2 linked regions of the Arabidopsis thaliana genome follow. The protein of the gene in region 1 interacts with the protein of each later gene in a pairwise test. Each region holds a gene or a part of one and is shown in the gene's direction. Other genes may lie near its edges.

Region 1 (4,982 bases):
ATAACATTAATTTTTACTACCACTTTAAACTTTTGTGTGATCACAAATTATTTTCGCCAGTAAAGACTTTGAATTGCTTGAACTCGAAATGATAGACTTATTGAAGCGGTTTCATAGTAGCAAGAAAAATAAAGACAACGAAAAAGAAACTAAAGAAGAAGCAAAATCTTACGATTTTTCAGAATTCACAGACGATAATTTTCTGGAGATGTGCATTCTTTGCGATTGTGACTATTTTAAATGGCCATTAACGGAGGGATCCGAAAGAGCATATGAAATAATTGGTACTAAAACTATACGTGGTAGAGAGGTACTTTTTACTTGGTTTAGTTCAAAATAGTAGTATACTATACATTTAGATTTTGTATTTGCATGTATGATGACATGATGTGTGTTATTCATTTTCTTTCAGGTAATAGAGGAACTACTAGAGGACAGCACTGACCTAACTTCTCATCTGAAAAAATTCATAATTTTGTTGCTTTTCAAATATTAGTATGTCTATAATCAAGTAATTGAAGAGCTTCAACACTTGAATGTGCCTGAGGTGTCTAACCTTCCATTCTTGCGTGACCGTGAGTCTGGCGATGAATTTGTCATTCGAAAGTATGAAGATTCTACGGGCACATATTTGTCAACAACTAAGACTAAGGAAATAGCATAAGGAAGACTTAATCCTGAAACCCACGAAAAATTTACACACGTGGAAGTGGAAGAAACAGATGACGAAGAAACTACTTAGACAAAAGTATCTAATAATTTGAATTTCGAAGTTCTAGTTCAAAATAAAGGAAGTCTAATTTCGACAAAAAATCTCACATCTATACCATATTTTACGGTTTTAGTTTTTTTTAGTCGTTAGCAACAATGACAATCAGTTATATTTTGTTAACTTTATAATCGTTAGCGATGACTATCGACAATGAAATCATGTTTATTTGGTAGTCGTTGGGTCGGGAACATTTAACAAATGATTTTGATTCAATTTTTTTTTTTTCTTATAAACCTTATCGGCTGATCTGGTTAGCCCTAGTAAAAACACACCGAAATGTTTTCGAGTGGACTTCTTCCCGAAAAACCACCATACTGTCTGTCTGTCACGAGTTTGAAATGCTTTCTGACTAATGCCAGGGGGTAGTCAGGCGGCCGCCTACATTTCTAATTACCAAGTAAACCAATTAAACCAAGACCCAACTTATACACTTACCAACTTTCAAGGAGAATCGAACTCGGGTCTAAGAGTTTCATCCTTCCCAAAGCTTCCCCTACCACTAAACCACATATACTTGGCCTAGGTTGAAAACTTTCAGTGATACAATTTTTTACTTGCTAATCGTTCAAAAATATTGACCATAAATTGTCGATGAACCAATGGCTAACACTATTTAGTTGGTTGGTCGCAATCGCATAGCATGTCCCTGACACAAAAAAAGCAAACAAAAAAAGAACTACTTGGATCAAACAAAGAAACCCATGCTTGGGCTCAGACTGAAAACAAAGTAATTGGGCCAAACCCATTTAGTATTAACCGACTAATCAAGTCCAACAATGTACAGCATGAAATAAACGCTACCCATTAACCGACTCAAATCGCACCAAGTCAGGCCCAATTAATCCTACACAGGCCCATTTAGAAGAAAGTTAACTTCCTCCTTAAGAAGAGAGAAGGGCTAAAAATCAAGCTTTCACGAGTACGGAAATTTACAGTATCTCCTCCATCTTTTTTTACTTTCCTCAGAGCTCTCTCCTCTCCGCAACTTCCACCACCACCAAATCGGAACTCTCGGCGTTCTACTCCGTCTCCGGCGTTACCTCCGTCGATTTCATCTTCTCAGGTTACTTAGGGTTACCTCTTTTTTGCTTTTTGATCGATAAAGTGTGATGATGTCTAGCGTTAACTCTTTTCGTCTTCGTAGTCGTAGTCTTAGGGTTTTGGTGGCGACGATACTTTGATTTATCAAACCGAACTTCTTCTTTGTGATCTTCGATGAATCAAAAGTTTTCTAAGGGATATTAATTAGGTTTTGTTACCGGCGATAATTAATCCATCTTCGATGCTTCTTCTTTACACTTCTGACTTTGTTTCTGATGTTTTAACCTCTGTGGAGAGCTTGATAGAGTGACATTGCTCTGACTAAGCGTTTTAGTTCAACGCATGGTTGATTCTCTTTTTACTAAGTAATGAATTTTGAGATCCTTGTTTGATTGCAGTTGGAAGGAGTGAATTGAGAAGGTCGGGCCAATATGGCGAACTTACAAGTTTCTGGGATACTCGAAAAGGTCTTTTCATCATCTGTTTCTAATTAAGCTTAATTTTGTTTTTGAGTATAGTCACCTTTTCTCATTGCTGTATTTACTATAGTTTCAGATGACGGGTAAAGATAAAGATTACAGATACATGGCAACCTCTGATTTGCTTAATGAGTTGAATAAGGATTCCTTTAAAATCGACCTGGACTTGGAGGTGAGATTGTCGAGTATCATATTGCAACAGCTCGATGATGTGGCTGGTGATGTTTCTGGATTGGCTGTTAAATGGTTAGCTTTCTGCTCTTAGCAACTTATGACCTAAGCTGATGTTATACTTTTACATTTAGCTGATCTATCGTCGACCTTTGATGTTATGATTTTGTTCCAGTCTTGCTCCATTGGTGAAGAAGGTTGGAGAAGAACGAATTGTTGAAATGACCAACAAGTTATGTGATAAACTGCTGCATGGGAAAGACCAGCATCGTGATACCGCAAGCATAGCTCTCAGGACTGTTGTCGCTCAAATTGCTCCTACGCTTGCTCCATCTATTCTTGTTACTCTAACACCACAAATGATAGGAGGAATAAGTGGCCAGGTTAGTTGTTGGGAGGTCTATTCCTTATTATTTCGATTGCATATGCGACAGTGCTTAGGGTCGTCCTAGACAATTTCGGATCCCATCAAAATCATATTGATTGACATCTATTGGAAAATTAGTTGATTTTACGTTTTAAGTTTTATTGGATCTAATACAGTTAAAGAACTCTGTCTGAAAAACTCTTAGTAGACCAGAGCACAGTATATGCATATAATTATTTGTCTACTCTAAGGTTCTATCATCTTATTTTACAAGTAACTAATTTTCTGCGTATTTACTGCTGAAGGGAATGAGCTCAGGGATCAAGTGTGAATGTCTTGAGATCATGTGTGATGTTGTTCAAAAATATGGAAGTTTAATGACGGATGATCACGAGAAGCTATTGAATACATTGTTATTGCAATTGGGCTGTAACCAAGCCACAGTCAGGAAGAAGACTGTTACATGCATTGGTAAGTTCATAAAATTGAGTCAATATGATTGCTGGGTACTGTCGGTACTAATGTCAATATTTAGCTAATTTGAAACCAACTTTAATCTGCCGAGACTTGAGTGGTAGCTTTCCTTATCTATATTAGAAATATGGTTTTCAGCTGTTTGCGTCAATTCTTGTGAAACCGATGCTAGTTCAAATGATATATTCAATGTCATTTTTTTCCTAGTCGTATATAGAACTCTTAATTCGATGGTATATAGCCTCTTCTAAGTTCAAAATTTTGTGTGGTGTCAGCTTCTCTTGCTTCCAGTCTGTCTGATGATTTGCTCGCGAAGGCGACTGTTGAAGTTGTGAAAAATCTAAGTAACAGGAATGCAAAATCGGAGATTACACGTACCAATATTCAAATGATTGGAGCTTTATGGTACTTCCTATCTTCCTTCTTATCGGCTTGTTATATATCTTTAACTTCTTACCATACGTTACTGTAGTGTTGTAGTATGCTTCGGTTAGTTGTACTTGTGCTACCTATTTATTGATTGGGATGAATGGTTATCTACGACTAGGCTTGCCATGGTTGTAATGCTATTTAATGCGTTTTTGTTTCAGCCGTGCTGTTGGTTACCGGTTTGGCACTCATCTAGGTAACACTGTGCCAGTATTAATCAATTACTGCACTAGCGCTTCAGAAAATGACGAGGAGCTTCGCGAGTATAGCTTACAGGTATCGTGCAAGATTCCCTAATGTTCCTACTTTCTCACTACGCTTGCATTTTTTGTTTTCTCATCTAATTTTTGTAATCAGACAATTACTTAGGCGTGCTTGTAGTCTCTTTTCTTTCCTATGCTATTAAATTGGAATTCTAATCTTAGGTTCAATAAAATTGGTATGAACAATGTAGACGATAACATGTCTGTTCTGAAATTTGACTGCAGGCACTTGAAAGTTTCTTGCTACGATGTCCCAGGGACATCTCACCATATTGTGATGAAATTTTAAATCTTACTTTAGAATATATTAGTTATGACCCGAATTTTACGGACAATATGGAGGAAGATACTGATAATGAGACTCTTGAAGATGAAGAAGATGAGTAAGTTCTGATTTATTCATTGGAACAGTAGCCTAGCTCCTTACGGTGCACCATTATCTCACTGAAATAAGTCTTTCTTTCTCACAGCGAGAGTGCAAATGAGTACACAGATGATGAAGATGCCAGCTGGAAAGTTAGGAGAGCAGCGGCCAAATGCCTAGCAGGATTAATCGTTTCGCGTTCTGAGATGCTCACTAAAGTATATCAAGAGGTATATCTTTTTTAAATGATCAAGCGTATTATCTTTCATGACGGGAGTGTACAAGATTCCCTTACACAAGAGTTTTTCATTCTTTTACCTGTGTTTGATTAAATATGAAACAAGAATCTACTATAGAATTATTGTTGAGGAGTTTAGTCTCTTCTTGTGCAGGCCTGCCCGAAACTAATTGATAGATTTAAGGAAAGGGAGGAAAATGTGAAGGTATGTAATTTAATCCATTAATGCTCTATTCTTGCTTTGCAATATGGTTATTGATCTAAGACTGAGGTACTGTTGTTACAGATGGATGTATTCAACACATTCATTGATCTGTTGCGGCAAACGGGAAATGTTACAAAAGGTCAAACTGACACCGATGAATCAAGGCAAAAATTCTGAGT
Region 2 (4,125 bases), 9.9 Mb from region 1:
TGTGAAGTTGTCTGTAGAATAATCTTAATCTTACTGGTTTGTTATTGATGTTCAGTCATACATACCGAAATCTCTGGATGCTGTGAACAACCCTGAGGCTGACGTGGCTAAGATAACAAGCGGGCAGGACACAGGAGACATGCTATACCAAACGATAACGGGGCTTAAGGATGCTCTTCCTAAAATAGAAGAGCAGAAAATAGAGGTGAATGATGAAGAGAAAGAAGAGGAAGGAGAGGAAGAAGAAGACGGAGAAAGTGAAGAAGGAAGTGAGGAAGAAGAGAGTGAAGAAGAATTGGGTCATGAAGACAAGAAAGCTGCAAGGAAAGAGCACAAGAAGAAAGTGAAAGAGGAGAAACGAGAGTCTAGGAAGACGAAGACACCCAAATCTGTCAAGAAGCGAAAGAAGAAAGTCTCTAAACCACACAAGACTCGTTAATCCGAGTTAGAAGTTTTGACACCCCAACTTGTATTTTTATTTATATTTTGAAATTTTGTGTCAAATTCTGGGAAATCGAGTATGGACCCAAAGCTCTCTATATTTCCAAAAATAGCAAGTTCTTGTAATATTCATAGTATGACTTTATTATAGAGCCCGAAATTGGTTTGCTGCTGTTTCAAGAATAGGATTCAAATTTCTGTTCCTTTCCTCACATCCCTAACCAACTTGACAATTCGAATAATGGTTGTGTCTAAATTTATCAACTCAAGTTTTGAGATTGTTGGCTTATAGTATGAAAATTCTAATCCTGCAACTAGTTTATTTACAACATTTTTTCTTTGTTTAATGAGTTCTTGATTTTATACAGTTTAGTGTTTATGAGCTTTTCTTCTTAAGCCTCTGTTTCCATAGTTTATATCTTAATACGTGTTTTCTCTTTCTTTTGGAGCTTTGATTATCTCTTTTAAACTATGTTTTCGAAGATATCTTTGTTTTCTGCCGGTTTTGTAAGATCGGAAAATATATTTTTATTTTATAATATTAATAAAAAAGATGACAAAACAAAAAATAATGATTTTCTTTCAAACTTAATGAACATAAAAAAAAGGGAAACGAAATCTTATTTTGCCTAGCTGACATAATTAACTAATGCAACTAAATGTAGGTAGGATTAAGTAAACAAAAATATGAGACAAAATTAAACATGCCAACCTCCAGGGCATAGTCAATGGGTCAAGTCAAGCGAAAGTTGGTCTGGATCTTACAATGCAACTTAATGTAAAGTACTCATTTTTCTTCGACATGGGACATCCGCCGAAATTGTTGATTTTTGATCCATCTTTACACTTGTTTTCTCCGATTACAACAAAACATAACAATTCGACTACGATTTAACACCTAACCTTTTTAATTTTTTAGGACACGCATTTAGTATTTACGATGCAAGCCAACAAATTTAATCCAACGTATTAAACACAACTTGCTTTTTGTCAATACGTATTAAATTAAATAGTTTTCTTGCAATTTTTGTTTACACATTTCATTAGTATTGTTTTTTTCCAATATTTTTGTTTCTATGTTCAATCACTATCATATGCATAATACACATTATAATTTTGGCACAATTAGAATTACACACAAGGATTTTATAAATGTTTTTAAAATGATTTACAAAAGATTTTATAAAAATTTTACAAAAGTTTTTAAAAGATTTAATAAAAGTTTTAAAACGATTTTACAAAGAGTTTTAAAAACTTTTAAAGGTTTTAAAGAAAGTTTATGAGAATTTACAAGAATTGTAAAAGATTTATAATAATTTTTTTAGAATTAGAAAGGAGACCCTCATTTTCCACCCAAATCGTCAACCTTCTCATAATTGACAAGTTATTACACTCTCTCCACTTACTAGTTACTATAAAACCAAAGGAGACCAAATCTCTTAGCAATTATGAATTTGGTCTTCGCTATAATCTCACGTTACATTAAATTGGCTCCTGTGAACCTAAATTTATGGACTATGATCCCAACACCAATCCGTTCGACCTTCATTTCTCCGGTAAACTTCCGGTGAGTTTTTCAATTTCTTCGAAAATTTCACTTCAATTTTCGAGGTTGTGGTGATTATTCGTGGTGTTCATATATATTTTATTGCCTGATTTAGAAAAGAGAAGTCTCGGCTTCAGCTTCTAAAGTTGTAGAGAAGAAATGGTTAGTGAAAGATGAGGTTAGTTCTTTCATCGAACACTTTGGTGTGCAATACTTTGACCTCAAAATTTTTGACTATGAGTGAATGGATTAGGTTGATCAAGTTCTCATATCTGATTTAGACATTGAATAGTTTGTTTAGATCGGTGATGCTCAAAAGTTGAACAAATCAAAGCTTTGTCTTACAGCTTAGTTTGGTAATGGTGATTTTCATTTTACACAGAAGAGAAATATGCTACAAGATGAAATAAACCGGGTTAATTCGGAGAACAAGAAGCTAACCGAAATGTTAGCAAGAGTCTGTGAGAAGTACTATGCTCTTAATAATCTTATGGAGGAGTTGCAGAGTCGAAAGAGTCCTGAAAGTGTTAACTTTCAGAACAAACAGCTAACGGGGAAACGAAAACAAGAACTTGATGAGTTTGTTAGCTCCCCAATTGGACTCAGTCTCGGACCAATCGAGAACATCACCAACGATAAAGCGACGGTTTCAACCGCTTACTTTGCTGCTGAGAAGTCTGACACAAGCTTGGTAAGGAGATTTCTACTACAAGTATCGTTCTTTGAGTGTATTGATTTGTTAACGAATGTTTTGTGGATATACGTTACTTGTAGACTGTGAAAGATGGATATCAATGGAGGAAATACGGGCAAAAGATTACGAGAGATAATCCATCTCCTAGAGCTTACTTCAGATGCTCGTTTTCACCGTCTTGTCTAGTCAAGAAGAAGGTACTTTGGTTTAAACTTTGTTAAAGAGTTCTTCGATATCATCTTGCTGTCTGATTAAATTCCCTAGTTGTGTGTGCGCTTGTTTAGGTGCAACGAAGTGCAGAAGATCCATCTTTCTTGGTAGCCACTTACGAAGGGACACATAACCACACCGGACCACATGCAAGTGTGTCCAGGACAGTGAAACTTGATCTAGTTCAAGGTGGGCTTGAACCAGTTGAGGAAAAGAAAGAGAGAGGGACGATTCAAGAGGTTTTGGTGCAACAAATGGCTTCTTCGTTGACCAAAGATCCTAAGTTCACTGCAGCTCTTGCGACTGCTATTTCCGGGAGATTGATAGAGCATTCAAGAACATGAAAGTTCTCTAGAACATGTATATTTCTGTTTTGTTCTATTTTGTTGCTCATTCCTAGTAAAAAGGTAAAGATTTGTTTGATCTTGATTAGGAGGCATAGATGTCAATTTTAATGTGTGTGTATATAATTACATCAAATCTAAGTATCCAAAAAGGGTCACCCCCATTTTATCTTATGTTGAAAGAGTTTTGTTATAGCTCGGTGTAAGTATGGTAGATTGACGCTGCTTCGACAGTTTATGTATCTTCCAATGTTATCTTGTTCAGTTGTTTGTATTAACTTCCATTAGAGAAGAATGTGATGCCATTACAGACATAAAAGAAACAGAGAAACCCGGAAACAGAGTAAAACCACGAAAAACAGAGTCGGTTTAAGAGAACCAAACCAAAATAACCGGTACAGCTATAAAAAGCCAAGAAGAAAAATTATGAACCGAGTCCAAATTAGGTTACGGTTAGCTTCCAATCCCAACTTCTTCTTCTTCTTCATCTGTGTTTAGTCCCAAATTGAAGAATCAAAAGTTTCGTGTTTTGAGAATTTGACAAAAATTTGTTTATGTAATCTTAGTTTTCGCTGATTTTGAGTAAGTTATCGACATGGATATTGATGTCGGACCAGTTGATCCATCTGTCCTATACGAGCAAGACCTCCATGTTTCTTCTGCTGTTTGGGAAGGACAGGTTTTTTTCTTAATTCCCTTGCTAAATTTCAGATTTTGAATTTAGGGTTAATCTTATTTCCCCTTACTTACCTTAGGAACGAGGTCTACTTCGTTGTCAAGAACACACTTCATTGCTACATCAATGGAAACTCACTGATGAACAAATTAACCTCGTGGACAAAGCTGGTTTCGGTTACTTTCGCAAAATCGGTCCAATGAGTTTAAACAAT

Evidence for each region.
Region 2: the proteins of CAND1 (region 1) and WRKY60 interact in binary tests that used the Arabidopsis thaliana proteins (3 or more experiments, as listed by UniProt).

What each region holds. Positions count from the first base shown.
Region 1 is NC_003071.7:688,101-693,082, forward strand, and holds the start of CAND1 (cullin-associated and neddylation dissociated), read left to right. Parts: upstream 1-1,683; 5' UTR 1,684-1,835; intron 1,836-2,211; 5' UTR 2,212-2,244; coding exon 2,245-2,280; intron 2,281-2,362; coding exon 2,363-2,538; intron 2,539-2,638; coding exon 2,639-2,846; intron 2,847-3,135; coding exon 3,136-3,301; intron 3,302-3,579; coding exon 3,580-3,709; intron 3,710-3,894; coding exon 3,895-4,009; intron 4,010-4,221; coding exon 4,222-4,379; intron 4,380-4,466; coding exon 4,467-4,590; intron 4,591-4,752; coding exon 4,753-4,803; intron 4,804-4,884; coding exon 4,885-4,967; intron 4,968-4,982. Other genes in the region: AT2G02550 (PIN domain-like family protein), read left to right, coding at 497-664. UniProt on the Arabidopsis thaliana protein: Key assembly factor of SCF (SKP1-CUL1-F-box protein) E3 ubiquitin ligase complexes that promotes the exchange of the substrate-recognition F-box subunit in SCF complexes, thereby playing a key role in the cellular repertoire of SCF complexes.
Region 2 is NC_003071.7:10,627,861-10,631,985, forward strand, and holds WRKY60 (WRKY DNA-binding protein 60), read left to right. Parts: upstream 1-1,801; 5' UTR 1,802-1,951; coding exon 1,952-2,008; exon of another isoform or gene 2,009-2,102; coding exon 2,103-2,165; exon of another isoform or gene 2,166-2,369; coding exon 2,370-2,678; intron 2,679-2,761; coding exon 2,762-2,878; intron 2,879-2,965; coding exon 2,966-3,235; 3' UTR 3,236-3,553; downstream 3,554-4,125. Other genes in the region: AT2G24990 (Serine/threonine-protein kinase Rio1), read left to right, coding at 56-439; AT2G25010 (Aminotransferase-like, plant mobile domain family protein), read left to right, coding at 3,831-3,914, 3,991-4,125. UniProt on the Arabidopsis thaliana protein: Transcription factor. Interacts specifically with the W box (5'-(T)TGAC[CT]-3'), a frequently occurring elicitor-responsive cis-acting element.